2 linked regions of the Macaca mulatta genome follow. The protein of the gene in region 1 purifies or fractionates together with the protein of each later gene. This does not show direct contact. Links are inferred from orthologs where the notes say so. Each region holds a gene or a part of one and is shown in the gene's direction. Other genes may lie near its edges.

Region 1 (3,559 bases):
TGAGTCTGAAACAAACTTAGTGAAATCTGATGGTTTTTTGTATTTTTTCCCATTGCTGGAATCCCAGTTTGGTTCTGCGGGAATCGAGTGCTTGAGTGGGATGCAAACAGGCAGGAAGGGCGCTCCTGCTCAGTTATTCCCAGTGAGCTCACGGAGGCACACAGGCCCCATGTCCTCCTGGCTGAGGCGTGGTTCCTAAGACAACCCTCACTGTTGAGGACTGCCAGGAGAGAGACACATTCAGCCCTGCAGGTCCTCTGGGAATCCGGTGAGCGTCGGCAGCATGCGGGAATGTGCGGGTGCCTCGTGGCCTGCTGATATCCCACACAGGTCACAGCCTGTCCAGTTCAGGACATCAGGGCCAAGAGTGGAATGGGAATACAGAGGCACCTCCGTGTGCTCATCCTGCTGACCATCACCCAGCCTCCAGGGCGCACAGCTGGCCCCCAGGAGGCTGCTTCCCAGCAGGGCAGGAATTCCATTTGAGTCTTGTCCCTGTTCCAGAAGGGCCGGGTATGTGTCCCCCAAAGGGGAGAGCATTCGAGAAGGATGGCTCCAGACTTGCCAGAGCTGACCCATGGGGAAAAAAAAAAAAAGGTGCTTTTTAAAAGATGAGTTTTATCAGCTCACACATCCTTCTAGAGTCTAATGGAGATTTTTTGTATGTGTGGAAATAGTAAACAAGGTCTTGAATCCCACAGAGCAAAAAAGACTTCCTTTTTTGGGCAGCCCTGGAAGGGTTGTTACTCTGGAATGGTTTAAAAGAGGCATCACATGGCTTGTTTGTGCTGATGTCACTGCCTCGCTGCCCCTCCAGTGGCACCTCCTCAGTCCCCGGCCACAGGGCACAAAGCCAAGCACATCTCATGCTTTTGGCCCGGGTACACTTCTGCCCAGGGGCAAGTCAGCTGGAGAGGAGTTCACATCCCAGCCATATGGAGATGCATTTCATGTCATTATGGCCTATTTTAATTCTTTTTAACCCCGATCGTTTTTCTTAGGCAGTGATGGGGAGTATGGAAAGGCAGGCTTATTTGTCATCAAGCTGCCAGTTTTTATCACTGCAAAGCACATCCCTGTGACATCTGTGACTGTCCCTTGGACAGTTAAGCGAGGGAGGGTCTCCTGGTGGGCCCAGGGTTACTCTTACTTAGATTAAGAGAAAATTCCTTTTTCCGGGGTCGTTGGCAATCAAAGTGTAGTCATCCTGTTGCACAGAGAACTCCATCCCAGCTCCACCCTTATGAATTTCGTAACCTTGGACAAATTATTTAATGTCTGAGTGCTTCTGTTCCCCCGTCTGTAACATGGGTGTATATTATAGTCAGTAGCACCTGCTTCACAAACTCGTGAGGACTTCATCAGTTCACACACATAACTGCCTCACTGCCTGGCACCTAGTGTGCGCACGGCATTCTGCTGTGGGGTAGACTTAAAATGGTGGCTAAAGAGATGCTTTTCCGGAAAAGTGGCCACATGGAACTCTCCATATCTAAGAAGCATACTGTGGGGTGCTTCATATTTTGTCTAATTCCTTTACCCCCAGAACAGGAACCCGCAACCTTCCTTCTGTAAAGGGCCATATGGTAAATAAGCATTTTTAGACTTGCAGGCCACGGTCTCTGTCCTAATGTCCTCAGCTGGTAGTTGTAGCTGGAAAGCAGCTGCAGCCCACATGGAAATGAGGGAGCATGGCCCATGCCAGTGCAGCGGATGTGCAGAGGTGGGTAGCCCCGGGTTAGACCCTGTGGAGATGCAGGCCCCCAGGCTCCAGAACGCTGAATTCTAGTGGATTCTGGATGGCTCTCCCTCACACCTAGGCCCACCCTCCCTGAAGGTTGCACCGTCTCCATCTGAAGGAAGCTGCCAGGTGGCCATTAGAGCCCTTCTCTTGGCAGGCCAGCTTCCAGGCCTAGTGGCTTATCTTACATCAGGGGCCTCCCCTTGGAATTTTCCCTGAAAGCCAGAGATGGGCAGGTGGTCTGTGGTTAAGCAGCCGGCCTGACAGGAGGCTAGATGCCATTGGGTGCTTTGAGTTTCCTAGATGTGGAGAGTTCTATGTGGCCACTTTTATGGAAAAGCATCTCTTTTAGGAAGAATTTTAAAACAAAGAGGAGAGCTTCCTGGTGAGAACAGAGGTGGAAAGGAAGGCACTTTGGTTTCACGCTCACGTAAGAGGGCTGTTGGCGGTCACTCCTCAGAACTATGGCCAGCCCTGGACGGTAGCCAGCTGTACCTTTTTGCCCCAAAAGTCTGTTTACCTGGGTCTTTCTGCGTTCTGGAAGCTTGTCAAAGCCCGGGCCTTTCCTGGGTCAGGGCAGCCGGCTTTCCTTGTCCGCGTGTGGCTGACTGTTTTCGTGGGGGGCCCTGGCCACAGCTGGCAAGACTTCCTTTGTCCCATGCGACTCTGAGGGCCTCACAGATATTTGCAGCCCAGGTGCTGTCGGAGCCCAGCCAATGCGACCAAGACACAGCACAAGCGTCATCCTGTTCTGCCTGTCCTTGCTTGTGGAGTGGACTCGTGCCCAGGGCTCTCCTTGCTGGCTCATTGGAATCTGGCTTCGGGTCTACACTGGGCCTCTTGTTTGGTCCAGAACAGCCTGACTCATCAGCTGGGGCTTGCCTGTGCAGGGCTGGAGCAAGCAGGTGCTAGATGGAGACAGCAGCAGACTCGGAGTGTGTATTTCTTCGTGTTGCAAGCCTGGCCTCATGGTGCCTTCTTCCTTTGGTCCTCTGCCAGGGGTAGCCCTGCACCAGGAGGAAGCTTAGAAATAACAGGTGGGACCTGGAGAGAGAGCGTTGGGGAAGCTGCGGTCACTCATCAGCCTTCTTAGAAACCGGGGGTTTCCTGCTTTCTAATTCTGGAAAGGATGTTTCAGCAGTGGCTGCATGAGATGTCTCAGATAGAAAACTGCTTATTTTTATTTCTTAGCACTGACACCATAAATAATACCTGTAACGATGGACAGTGCGGACCTAGATTAGTGCTTCTTGGGAAAGGAGAGTTTGGGTTTTGTACTGTGGTAGTGCTGAGTGAAGTGAACGGAACCATACGAGGTAAAACAGGAGACTCTGAAGGCCACTTGGGCCATCCAGGCAGAAAGCCAGGGACGGAGAGGGACAGTAGGGTTGTATTCAGTGCTCCCACCATACGCTTATAGGTGGGAAACCACTGCAGGCGGCCCATGAAGCCTCTTGGCCACATACGCCCTCCCAGTTTGGACCCCCCTTCCATGTGTCTTGGCTGCAGGTTTGAATTGATGCGCATGTGCTGGCAGTACAACCCCAAGATGAGGCCTTCCTTCCTGGAGATCATCAGCAGCATCAAAGACGAGATGGAGCCTGGCTTCCGGGAGGTCTCCTTCTACTACAGTGAGGAGAACAAGCTGCCCGAGCCGGAGGAGCTGGACCTGGAGCCAGAGAACATGGAGAGCGTCCCCCTGGACCCCTCGGCCTCCTCGTCCTCCCTGCCACTGCCCGACAGACACTCAGGACACAAGGCCGAGAACGGCCCCGGCCCTGGAGTGCTGGTGCTCCGCGCCAGCTTCGATGAGAGACA
Region 2 (4,272 bases), on another chromosome or scaffold:
CAAACCTGTTTTATAGGTGGGGAAACTGATGTGGAGAGTGGCAGGACCTGGCCTCACCATCCTGGTTAGGGATCTCCTGTCATCAAAAAGATTCTAGTCTGCTCCTTTCCAGATCTCTGAGCCCTGCAGAAACAACAGGTGGCTTCCTCTTCTTCCCCTGTGGAGGGTGAAGCCCAGAGGCCAAGACTGGGAGGAGGGTTCTGGGCCTTCCTCCATATTCTCTAGCTCCTAACATTGCCCAGAGGTGGGCCACCCTGCCTACCCATCAGCCTTCCCCTGCCCCTCTGCCAAATCTGGACATAATTATAGTAATGATACTGCATATAAACAGTATAGGTAACTGCTTCTGAGCATGATTACAGGAGATGTTTACACACTCACAACAGCATCAGAGTAAATGATAGCTTCCTCCCTTAATACTTAGACCTTTCAGGGATAGTTAGCCAAATCTCAGCAGTGAGGGTGTGGGAAAGACCTTACAATTTCCCACTACCTGCAAAGCAGGAAGGCACCTCAGACAAAGCAGCGTCCCAGCCAAGATTTCACAGGACATCAAGAAGCCTGCAGAGAAGTGGGCTAACATCTACTGGGCACCTACTGTATGCAGGCACTTGGGGAGGCCAGCAAACAAGCAAGTTCTTTCAACCTATTAATTCTGCAGGCTGATATTAGTGTATCCTCACTTTACAGGTGGCCATGGAGCTAGGCATGGGCACTTTCCACGGTGCTACCCGGTCACATCAGCGGGCCAGCTCTGCCCTCTTCCTTTATCGCCTCTTCTCACTTCTCGCAGCTTCCCTTTCCTGGGCGGCTTCCTGCAGCCCTTGCTGGTCGCGGGTCTCCGCTCAGTTCCCCAGTGTCAAGGCCGTCTACTGCCCCCTCCACCCCTTCTTCCTGTCTCTGTTGGGTGACTGGGTGTTATCTCTCCAGTAGAAGGGGGTGGGGTGGGGTGGAATGGGGAAGGGTGGAGCACAGGGCGAAGGCCTTGCCAGGCATCCCGGGGTCTCCAGCTAGGCGAGCGGCCGCAGAGAGCGCGGCCTCGGGGTCGCCAGACCCTCGGCTTCCAACCACACGCACACACAAAGGCTGCCCCGGCATGCGCGGGAGAGCGCGCTCGCACCCACGGCCGTGCGCACACACGCACAACTGCACAAAGACGTGCACACTCCTCCATCCACACCAATACACTCCCAATAGGGCCCGCACACAGCCGTGCGCCCTCACGTACACCACACCACCACCACCATACAAACACACACACACTCACTCATACGGACTCGCACGCGGGTGGACCCCTCCCCCACCACAAACGCCGACCTTGGGGCCTTGACGCGTCCTGCAGCGCTGCCCCGGCTCGCTGGGCGGCGCGCGCACACGCAGACGCACGAGCGCGCGCACACACACACACACCCCGCGCGGTTCCACGCCCCTGACCGCGGCCCGGGCGCTGCGCTGCTCGGCGCGGCGGGAGGCGGGCGGGGACCGGGGGCGGGGGCGGGGGCGGGGGCGGGGGCGGGGGCGGCGGCGGCCGGGAGAGCGGAGAAGGCGGAGCAGGGAGCCGGGAGCGGGCTGGCCCGCGCTCCTCCTGCTGGCCGGGGATTTTCCAGCCTGGGTGCTGACGCCGCGGACCTCCCTGCGGCCGTCGCGGACCATGGGCGACAAAGGGACCCGGTGAGTGCAGGGCGGTCGCCCGGCGTGGGGCGTGTGGGGGCGACCTCGGCGAGGGCACGGGCGGGGGCTCCGATTGCGTCCTGGTTCTGTGTTCGCGGCCATCCCGGGATCTAGTACCAGCCCTCCTCCACCCGAGGTCTCCTGCGTGGTCTCCCCGGCAGGGCCGTGGGCGAGGGGGACCCAAAGGGCGAGGGCCGGGCCGCCCCATGTGGGCCGCGGCTCCTGGCCCGGACACACTCACAGCTTGCTGATACCCAGCATTGGCCGGCAGCCGCAGAAACGCGCGGGGGCAGGTTGACACACAATACACGCACGGGCACACTAACCCGTGGCACAGGCATGCTGGCGCACACACTGGCAGCCACTGGCACACGCTCATCACACACAGTGGCACGCCGTCATACACGCCTCGGTCAACACATTCTTGCTTACAGCCTTGTTGGCATGAACAGCTCACACTCCAACACACACCAATTCTAACACACCCTCGTGCTAGCACACACGTGTGGGCATACACTGATACGCAAACTGTCACCTGCACTCGCTGTAGCAAACACTCTTGCTGGTACACACATCACCCTCACTAGCACACACACTTGTGCTGGCATGTCTCACCAACACAGTGGAGCGCAAGGCCACACCAACACTGACCCCCACAGACACAATCAGACTAATGCTTGCAAAGACTGGCACCCCGCAGGCACGAGCTGCTAGCCGGAGGCCCGCTGACACACACGTTCCAGGCCCCACATGGCCAGAAGTGGAAACACACATCACACGGGGTAGAACGCTCCCCACTGCCCCCAGCCTGGGGAAAACAGATCCCATCCCATCCGAATAGATCGCATCCATCTACTCTGTTCCCTTTCCCTCTGACCTCCTGAGGAGTGGCTGGCCAGGGGCTGTTTTGAACCTAGGGCTGGGAGAACCCCTCCCGTTCTAGAACCTGGCCTGAAATACTCAGAAAGAAACGGTCTATGCCTCTGAAAGGGGAAAGTGGGACAGAAGGAGGAGGGGGCTGGAGCAGGACAGCCCCTGGGGGCAGCCCTTCAGACAGGACCAGCCCTTCAGACAGGACCAGCCCTGGTCAAGGGCTCAGCATTGCCACCCTATTTTCCCCGTTGCCCTCCCCACCCAAGTGGGCACAGCAGCCTCTTCCTGGGCTCCCCCTCTTTCTCATTGTTTTCTGTCTTTCTCCTCTCCTATTCTTGTGCCTGACTTCTGCCTCCTCCCTTTCCTCCCCTCTCCTCTCCTCGGTTCCATTTATTATTAAGCTCTTGCTGTATACTAGGCATAGTGTGGGTAATCAAAGATGCGCAAGGCCCACTCCTCTGAAGGAGCTAACAGACTAGAGAGACACACCCCAGTGGGCACCACCTTTCAGGGCCACTGACAAAGCCATTTCTCACGTACTGCCATCTGAGACTCTCTCTCAACAGTGTGAGAAAGGGCTTCCAGAGATTATTTCTATTTTCTAGAGGAGGAAACTGAGGCTCAGAGGCAACTTAGGCTCTTAATGTTTAGAAATTACTTTCCAGCCATCCTCCTGACAGCTCTTCCAGGAGGTTAATTTTCCTCTTCCTGTTTTCTAGCAGAGGAACCAGAGAGCTGGAGAGGTCATGTGATTTGCCTAAGGTCAAAAGAGGCCAGAGGCAGGGCAGAGGCTGGAGTCCACTTGGTCATGTCTCTGTGGATGGCCCTAGGGCACTACCAGGCCCCACATGGGCCAGGGAGGGGTGCCCTGCTCTGTGCTGGAGGCCCAGGCTTTGGGGGAGACAGCAGAAGATCATGCTGTGTCTGCATGCATCTTGATGGCTAGTCCCCATTGCAGCTGGCTGGCCAGCACTGTGACCTAGGCCTCTGTCCTCAGTAGGAAGGTATGTGACTCCCTCCCCAGCCACATCCATCTTGACCCATGAGGTCAGGCTTTTCTTCCTGCAGGGTATAGCAGGGAGTTGGAGCCATTCTCCACTCCTCCTGTCCTTCCTAGGCTGCCTTGTGATTGGGGTAACTCAGCCTCTCTTGGGTCTCTCTGTACCTCTCTGTGACTTGGGGGATAAGTGTCATTGCTGTCCTGCTGACATGATTGTCAGGAAGATGTGGACACCATGGGCTTCCAGGCACCTGTTGGAGACCCTGTCTCTGAGGCCAAGATATTTTCCATGACTCCCCCTGCCCTGCCTTGAACTCACTGCTGGACCGTTGGGACACTGGGCAATTGCCTTTACTTTTCCGGACCTTAGTTTCCCATCTGTAAACTGGAGCTATCAATACTTAACATTTTAAGGCTTCTCTTGTACTTACTGACTTCACTGGGCAGGGGAAGAGGCACTGCCTGAAGCCTGGAGCCAAGGCCCAGCTAAATCCACCTGATAGTGGCCCTGACCTCCCCCTCAGACTCTCCTGCAGCCCCATGAGGGCTTTCTGTCCCTTTCCAGACAGTTTGCTAAGTAATTTGGAAAAGAAGGGCAAAATCGGTAATGGGCTGTACCTTGTCTTTTTCCGTAAGCCATGAGATTCTACTTTATCTATGACTTAGAGGAGGAATCTGAAGATATCGAAAACTGAACATCAGGAATCATTGCATCCATCCCTCCATCT

What was found. Proteins that work in one complex are often made in the same cells at the same time.
Region 2: the proteins of IGF1R (region 1) and ARRB1 purify together in Homo sapiens (affinity purification with western blotting; 3 studies listed by BioGRID and IntAct, with this or other methods). This does not show direct contact. The link is inferred for Macaca mulatta from reciprocal best matches to the Homo sapiens genes IGF1R and ARRB1.

What each region holds. Positions count from the first base shown.
Region 1 is NC_133412.1:89,200,284-89,203,842, forward strand, and holds part of IGF1R (insulin-like growth factor 1 receptor precursor), read left to right. Parts: intron 1-3,250; coding exon 3,251-3,559. UniProt on the Homo sapiens protein: Receptor tyrosine kinase which mediates actions of insulin-like growth factor 1 (IGF1). Binds IGF1 with high affinity and IGF2 and insulin (INS) with a lower affinity. The activated IGF1R is involved in cell growth and survival control.
Region 2 is NC_133419.1:75,743,664-75,747,935, reverse strand, and holds the start of ARRB1 (beta-arrestin-1), read left to right. Parts: upstream 1-1,413; 5' UTR 1,414-1,651; coding exon of another isoform or gene 1,652-1,671; exon of another isoform or gene 1,672-1,702; intron 1,703-4,272. UniProt on the Homo sapiens protein: Functions in regulating agonist-mediated G-protein coupled receptor (GPCR) signaling by mediating both receptor desensitization and resensitization processes.